Oryctolagus cuniculus: one gene and its partner. The main gene of each other region encodes a partner of the protein of the gene in region 2 in a complex. Links are inferred from orthologs where the notes say so. Each region holds a gene or a part of one and is shown on either strand. Other genes may lie near its edges.

The links.
Region 1: the proteins of STX17 (region 2) and VAMP8 are in contact, whole or in part, in a crystal structure (PDB 7BV6), measured with the Homo sapiens proteins. The link is inferred for Oryctolagus cuniculus from reciprocal best matches to the Homo sapiens genes STX17 and VAMP8. Residues at the interface, in NP_060389.2 of Homo sapiens: Ser171, Trp172, Thr174, Leu175, Asp178, Leu179, Glu181, Leu182, Leu185, Val186, Phe189, Leu192, Val193, Gln196, Glu198, Lys199, Ile200, Ser202, Ile203, His206, Val207, Ser209, Ala210, Asn213, Val214, Glu216, Gly217, Thr218, Asn220, Leu221; in NP_003752.2 of Homo sapiens: Gly9, Val13, Leu16, Gln17, Val20, Glu21, Val23, Lys24, Met27, Thr28, Asn30, Val31, Ile34, Leu35, Arg37, Gly38, Leu41, Glu42, Leu44, Arg45, Thr48, Glu49, Leu51, Glu52, Ser55, Glu56, Phe58, Lys59, Ser62, Gln63.

Annotation. Positions count from the first base shown.
Region 1 is NC_091433.1:117,071,450-117,075,650, forward strand, and holds the start of VAMP8 (vesicle-associated membrane protein 8), read right to left. Parts: upstream 2,801-4,201; 5' UTR 2,366-2,800; coding exon 2,363-2,365; intron 1,050-2,362; coding exon 894-1,049; intron 1-893. UniProt on the Homo sapiens protein: SNAREs, soluble N-ethylmaleimide-sensitive factor-attachment protein receptors, are essential proteins for fusion of cellular membranes.
Region 2 is NC_091432.1:203,661,166-203,664,665, forward strand, and holds part of STX17 (syntaxin-17), read left to right. Parts: intron 1-1,808; exon of another isoform or gene 1,809-1,989; intron 1,990-2,648; coding exon 2,649-2,735; intron 2,736-3,465; coding exon 3,466-3,500. UniProt on the Homo sapiens protein: SNAREs, soluble N-ethylmaleimide-sensitive factor-attachment protein receptors, are essential proteins for fusion of cellular membranes.

The sequences.
Region 1 (4,201 bases), on a different chromosome or scaffold from region 2:
CTCTGTAAATCTTTTTGTTTGTTTGTTTTTAAGATTTATTTTATTATTTATTTGAAAGGCAGAGTTACAGAGAGGCAGAGAGAGAAGTCTTCCATCCATTGGTTCACTCCCCAAGTGGCCTCAATGGCCGGGGCTGGGCTGAAGCCAGGAGCTTCTTCTGGGTCTCCCACATGGGTGCAGGATTTGGGCCAGTCTTCTATGCTCTGCCACAGCAGAGAGCTGGATCAGAAGTGGAGCAGCCGGGACTCAAATCAGCGCCCATATGGGATGCCAGGACTACAGGTGGCAGCTTTACCGGCTATGCCACAGCGCCGGCCTCTGTAAATGTATTTTTTTAAAAGATTGATTGATTTATTTGAAAGGCAGAGTCACAGAGAAGCAGAGGTAGAGAGAGAGACAGAGACAGAGAGGTCTTCTATCCATTGGTTCATTTCCCAAATTGCTGCAACATCTGGAGTTGGGCTCATCAGAAGCCAAGAGCCTGGAGCTTCTTCTGGGTCTCCCAAGTGGGTGCAGGGACCCAAAGACTTGAGCCATCTTCTACTGCTTTCCCAGGCCATAGCAGAGAGCTAAGAGTAGACGGGACACAAACCAGTGCCCACATGGGATGCTGGCACTGTAGGCAGCAGCTTTTACCACTACACAGTAAAATGAGCGGGCTGACTGAGCCACCTGTGTGCCTCAGAAAATGTCTCTGTGGGTCACCCCACCCCAACCCCAGTCATCAGACTCATTCCTTGGTCCCATACCAATCAATGGAGCAGAGCAGAATAGGAAATGGGGACCCAGCTCATGCCAATTCCTGAAATAGATGCAAAGGCAACAGAAACAGCAGAGCCTCGCCCCTCCCGTTCACCATGCCCTCCCTTGGTCCCAGGGTCTTCCCGTCTCACAGTGGCTTCCAGGTCCTCTGTCTTGTTGCGCAGCTGGTCCAGGTTTTCTCCTCGTGCCAGGATCCGCTCCACATTCTGGGTCATTATATTCTTGACTCCCTCCACCTCACTCTGCAGGTTCCGCACTCGGTCATCTCCGCCTCCGCTGGCCGCCTCCTGCGCACAGCACAGGGGCTAATTAGGCCAAGTGACAGAGGACCAGAGGGAGACCCAGCCACAGAGGCCAGGGCAGTGGAAGGCCTCAGGTGGACGTCAGCCTTTACAATGCTTGCATTGTTTACAAACTATCTTTTCCTGCTTTAATGCATCTGTAAGCCCCAGCAGGTGAGATCTGATGCTGGACACCATCACTCAAACTTTCGGGTTCCCAGGGCTCCTGGCAAGGAAGAAAGCAGCATGGCTAACTCCCTCTCGGCTGCTTCCTCCTCCTCATGGGGTCGCAGGCACTGCAGAGCTGGCATCTCACAATGTCCCCCTCCAGCGCAGACCCCCCGCGATTTACCAAGTCCTAGAGCCCTCCCTTGCTTCCTGGACCCCCCTGAGTCTTCATTAAACCTGTCAGTGCCAGCCAGCAGGACGCCCCACCTGGCCCAAGCCTGCTCCGGCTCCCGGACAGCTGCTGGAGGATTGCTTCGGCTCCGGGGCTTCCTGGACAGCCTGACCCTAGTTCCATGGCTATGACCCAGAGCCAACAAGTCCCTCACACGGCGCCATGATCCGCTGAGCACACACTTCTGCTTTCCCCACCTCTCAGCAGAGCCTGTGCAGATACTAAGTGAAAACAGGCACCTGGGCGCTGGGGGAAATGGAGGACAAGTGCTGCCCGCCTGCTGCCTGCCTCATCCTGCAGGGTTCATGATAAGGTTTTTGATCAAGGAGGGAAAACAGGCCTCCCAGCCTGGCCCTCGGGGGGGGGGGGGGGCAGAACCTTGCCAAGGGTGTGGGGCGAAGCTGGATTATCGCAGAGAACCAACTTATGGGTCTTTTACAGGCCCCCGGCTGCTTCCTTAGACGCGGTACAGAGGGATCCTTTGGGTTTCTGCATAGGGAGAAAGCGGGAGGCCCGGTGGGAGAACTCCCGCCGCCGCTGGCCTGGAATCTGAGCCGGGAACAGCAGAGGCGCTTGCTGTCCAGCGGTGTCACAACACCCAGTTTGTCCCTGCCAGGGGAGGCGGGGGCGGGGGGCGGCAGAAAGTGGCAGCAACTCTTTGCCTGGAATTCGGACGCCCCCCCAACCCCCACCGCGGCCCTGCTCGGGGCCAGCACGGAGGCCAGGGGAGGGAGGTAGTGGGGCAGGGACAGGAACACCGCCCAGGCGGCTCAGAAGTATTTGCGGCCAAGTTGTCAGAGAGGCCACAGACAGCGCCGGCCCCAGCCCTCTGACTTCACCACGCACCCTCCCCTCTCGGCAAGGCCAAGCCCCAGTCCCCAGCCCCCTTTAGAAAGCAGCCCCCGTCCGGATCGCTCACCATGTCTGCGAGTCGCTGGGGCCCGTCAGCGGCGGAGCTCACCCAGGCTGCTTCCTCCCGGGCAGCCCTCGCTCCACTTCCTGCTTGCTCCAACTTTCAGCCCGCCCCTGCCCACCTCCATCCCTGCGCTCGCGCCACACCTAACGCAGGTTTCCTCAGGTAGGCGGGCTCCCGCCCCCGCCCTCCCAGTCTCCACCCAACCAGGGCTTAAACTTAAAGCCACAAGGCTCCCCGGGAGGGCACCGAAGGTCTTGCCACTTGCCAGAAACGACAAAGCAAAGATCAAGCAACCTTCCTAGGTTTCCTGAGGCGGGACAGACTCCTTTTTATGTCTGGGATGTCTTAAGCACCCTGCGGGCCGAGATCACGTGAAAACAGGTGCAGAGGTGACAAGATCTTGCCGAAGCCCTTGTACTTAGGACTGCAAACACTGGGAAAAGTCTGGAATGCTGTCACCCCAGGCTCGGGTGTCAGAAAGCTCAGGGTTACCGGCTGCATGCTGCCTAGTGAACTTCCTCACCTCTTTCTGTATTGCAGGTGCAAAGGAGTAAAAGACAGCTCACACAATGTGCCTGACAGTGCCTTGAACAAAATAAGTAATCAGGAAATGATGGCCCACCAGCCCTTCCCCTTCCCTTCCCAATTGCCTTGCATGTGCCTTGGGAGGACAGTGTGTGTGTGTTTTGGGGGAGGTTGCTGACCCTATCAGTGGTCAGAGGACAGCCCAATGAACCAGACAGGGACGACCCAGGGCAAAGGATTTTTCCACCAACCTGGCCCTGGGCCAGAGAAAGGCCAGAAAAAAAATCCTCTCTTCCTGGATGGTGTTTATCAAGACACAAGAACAGTAACAGGGACCTGCAGAAGGGAACAAACATTCTTGCCTCTTCCCAGAAGAAATGGCAGTTCCAAAGAGGAAATATCAACTTCACCAACACATACTTTTAAAAAGAGAGAGAGATTTATCTGAAAGGCAGAACACCAAGAGAGGACAAGAAACAGAATAAGAGTGATCTTCCATCTGCAGGATCATTCTCCAAATAGCTGCAACAGCCAGGTCTGGGCCAGGCTGAAGCCAGGAGCCAGGCACTCCATCCAGGTCTCCCATGTGGCTGGCAGGGGCCCTGGTACTTGGGCCTTCCTCTGCTGCCTACCCGAACACGTTAACAGGAAGCTGGATATAAAGTGGAGCAGTCGGGACTCAAACCAGTGCTTTTAAAAAGTCTTTAATACATTTTGTCTTGAGACATCTTTTTTCTAACTTAAATACAATTTTGTCCCCAATTAGGTTGTAAGTTTATTAGATTATACAGACATGAATTTTAGTGGCCAGGACAAATAGCCTGGGAAACAAAGTGTGTACCAGCCTGCTTTGGCAAAGAAACATGGCTGCCTCACCCTTCTCAGGTTGCCACAAGGCCAGGTGGAGGAGGAGTGGAATTCTTAGTCTCTACTTGTGTCATCCAGACCAGTTGCCATTAACCACTTGGGCTGTTGAGTACTTGAAATGTGGCCAGTCTGAACTGAGATGTGTTGTAAATGTAAAATACACACCAGAGTTCAAAGACGTAGTATGAAAAGAAGAATGGAAATATCGCATTCATAATTTCATATGTTGATGGCATGTTAGAATAATGTCTCGGGGGGTGAGTATTATGGCGCAGTTTTTAAACCACAGCTCAGGACACCTGCATCCCATATCGGAGTGCCAGTTTGAGTCCCGGCTACTCCACTTCCCATCCAACTTCCAGCTACTGCCTGGGAGGCAGCACATGAAGGCCCAAGTGCTTGAGTCCCTGCCACCCACATGGGAGATCCAGATGGAGCTCCGGGCTTCTG
Region 2 (3,500 bases):
CATCAGTGATCCCAGAATTATTTTTCTTGTAGTCTCTCCTCCAATTATTCCAAATAATTTTTGCAAAAAAATTAAAATTAAATGATCTTGAAATTTCACTTTAAAAGAAAAGTTTTACATATTGCATTGTTCAACCTTTCTTTAGGAAGGAACATTAAAAACATTTCCCTGAGACCTTGCGATCATGCTTAGGGAATGGGAATGGCAATAATCCTGGAAGTTTCCTCCCTCTTGCTGGAATTATTTTTGGCTGAGGGGAGGGAGACACATTGAATATTCTTCCTCTCCCCATCAACTCATCAAGATCTGAAGGTTGATTGTAGAGTTTTACCCCTGTGATTTATCTGCTAGCACAGACTGTTACAGGCAAAAGTGTGAAGTGCCGAGGGTGTCTCAAATGGAAACCTAAAAGAGTGTCAGAAGTCCAGGCAAGTTGGATATAATTAGTGCTGGCACTTTTGCTTCTCTAGACAAGAAAAAGAAAGATGACTTAAAGTTTTACTGTGAGAAAAAATGAGAATTGGATGAATGAATGTTAGGAGAGATCTCATGTTTTACTGCCCTAGAATTTTCAAGCATCATAGGAAAAAGCTTATTATATTTTTTGATGGAAAGATGAGAGTTAACACTTTCTTGGGAAGATCAGGATGATTTTTTTTCTATTTTCTCCTCTTACTTGGCAGACATCTCATTTTATTCTTTCTTTGGCCCTATGAGCTGTAAGTATCATTATCCTCATTTGATAGCTGAAGAGTGCCTGAGTAATTTTGTCCTGGGGCAGATAGTGGCAGTGCTGGGATTTGAATATAGAATATCTGACCAAAGGCTGTGCCCTTAATCTTACCATATATAATGATTTTTAAAGGGTGAGAAATGGAAGCATCAGCACCACCTGTGAACTTCTCAGAACTCAGGAACTCTGACAGTGGGAACCAGCAATCTTTGTTTTAAGAAGCCCTCAGGCTTCTCTGCTGCATGCTCAGGTTGTACTTGTCTCTGACAGAGATGTTCAAAGGAGAACGGATGAAGGACTTTTTAAAGGATTGTGTTACAGATGCTAAGACAGTGGTAGAGAAGGGCTGACGGCATAGTGCCCAAGTTGCCATGTGGGACTCCTTACAACCCATATAAGAGTGCCAGGCTCTGCTTCCGATTGCAGCTTTTTGTTAATGTGCACCCTGGGAGGCAGCAGGCAACAGAGCAAGTACTTGGAACCCTCCCCCCATGTAGAGTACCTGGACTGAGCTTGGTTCCCTTTCTCCACCTGGCCAAGCCCTGGTTGTTGCAGGTGTTTTGGGGAGTGAACCAGTGGATGGGAGAGTTCTCTCTCTGCCTTTCAAGTAGAAATAAATTTTAAAAAACATAGTAGTGGAGAATATTAGAATGAAAGAATACCACAGAAGTCCCAATATATGTGAAAAGGCACATATTGAATGGAGAGAAAGGAAGGAATGTTAATAATGCTAATGGGAAACAGCTGTCAGAAAAAATGGCTGTGTTGTGTGGGCTTCATGTCCTCAAATGAAATGATGATTGGAATCAGAATAGTGTTATTTATGTCTACCTCAGTATAAATGAATAGGTCAAGGGCAAATACTTCTCTAAGTTTATTTCTCACTCATTGTAGAAAGTGACATTTATTTGGGATCAGAGACAGATTCTTCTCTTTTGTTCTGCAAATTAAAAAAAATAGTCTCTCTACTAATTGTGGTGGTGGTTACATCAGTTTATACATTTCTCAAAACTCATACTGTACCATTAAAATGGGTGCATATTGTCTTAAAATTCTATCTAAAAATTTTTTTTAGACATTTAAAAAGTGGATTGTGTTTCTGTGGCAACTTCCTGTCACTGGAGGTGATGAACAGAGGACTGGTAACAACCTGTCAGAAGGGGGGGGGGGGGCACACTGGAGAGTTGCACTTGGTGACCCAGCATTTCTTCTACCCAGAAATCATGTGAACCACAGTCACTGTTCTGTCAGCACAGGTGTGGTGATTTTATGTCGAATGCTCTATTAATATGTTTTATCTGAGACATTTTAACTTGTCATGAATTTAAAATATATTAAAGTATTCAGGCGTAAAACATAGGATGGTAAATTCATTCAGTGCTCCCTACTGCTTATCACAAGTAGAAAGATTTCACGGTAAATCATATTGTAGTCTTATCCCTAAAACACAGCAGTTTGTATTTAATGGATCAAAGGCACTTTAACTCCTAAGGTAAATTTGCCTGCTTTAAACAGAATCTTCAAAAAAGATAAGTTAGAGAGGTTTTTTTTGGTCTGATTTTTTTTTTTCCTTCAAGCCCAACCTGACATGAAAATGCTTATTTGGATTTTTTTCCTCTGGAAAGTTGATGCATTTGGAGAATAGTATGTTTATATGTTTGAATGTATTTCAGTGTGAGGTGCTTTTTGCTGGAAAGGTGCCACCCTTTTATTACCAAATAATTAAGTCTCCCTCTTTTTTTCACGAAAGTGAATTTGTACCTTTGACATGGTTTATCAGATGCTATTAATGAACCATTATTAAGACTGCAAGGCTGCAGTACCCGGGGCCCTGATTACAGGAATTAAAATAGTGTGTGTTGGCTTCCTGCTGATCCCCAGCAGGCATGCTCACTCATAATTCCTTTGCATCTAGTCTCAGCAGGAGAAGATTGACAGCATTGCAGACCATGTCAACAGTGCTGCTGTGAATGTTGAAGAGGGAACCAAAAACTTGGGGAAGGTAAGATTCTGCTCCTGCTGACAAATCAATGGTACTCTGGCTCCCAGGAATCTCTAGTATTAACCCGATTGATCTGCTCTCTTCAATGTTGAGAGAACCAGCAATTAAGGAAATAAGGAAGAAATGACACATAGGTGGTGCCAGAAATCAATGGTTGTAATATTCTACTCTAAGATTCATTCTATCAGGAGAGGAATTTTTTCCAGGAGAGAATTAACTGTACCCTACTGTTAGCTATTTGGTGTTTCAAGGGAATATGCACAGAGGTCCAGGGAGAGGAGGGTTGCAAGAATCCAGTCAGGGCTAGACTATAAGGACATAATAGCATATGTGGAGTAGGATCCTGTTTTCCATAGGATGTTGTTTTTAACCCCAGATACATAACATGGAATAATCTCTGTGCAACATAAAAGCTTGAAGCAAGGGTGGGAATCTGTGACTGCCGAAACTGTTTAAATAAACCATGGATTGATTGTTTTACAAGTAAAATCAATTTGTTAGCTGTCCACTCTTTATAGCTCATTCTTCCAACTTCTGATCATTGGAACAATTGTAGTACCTGTGGAATATTTTCTTTCCTCTGCCCCCACAAGCCCCACAAATATAATCTCTAAGTTTAATTATGTACTAGGAGTTAAATAGGCATTGCAAGGAGTAATGAGAGGAAAATGCACATCACCACAGGCAGATATTCTCAACTCAATTTCTAAATTGAATTTTTTTTTTACAGGCTGCAAAATACAAGCTGGCAGCTCTGCCTGTGGC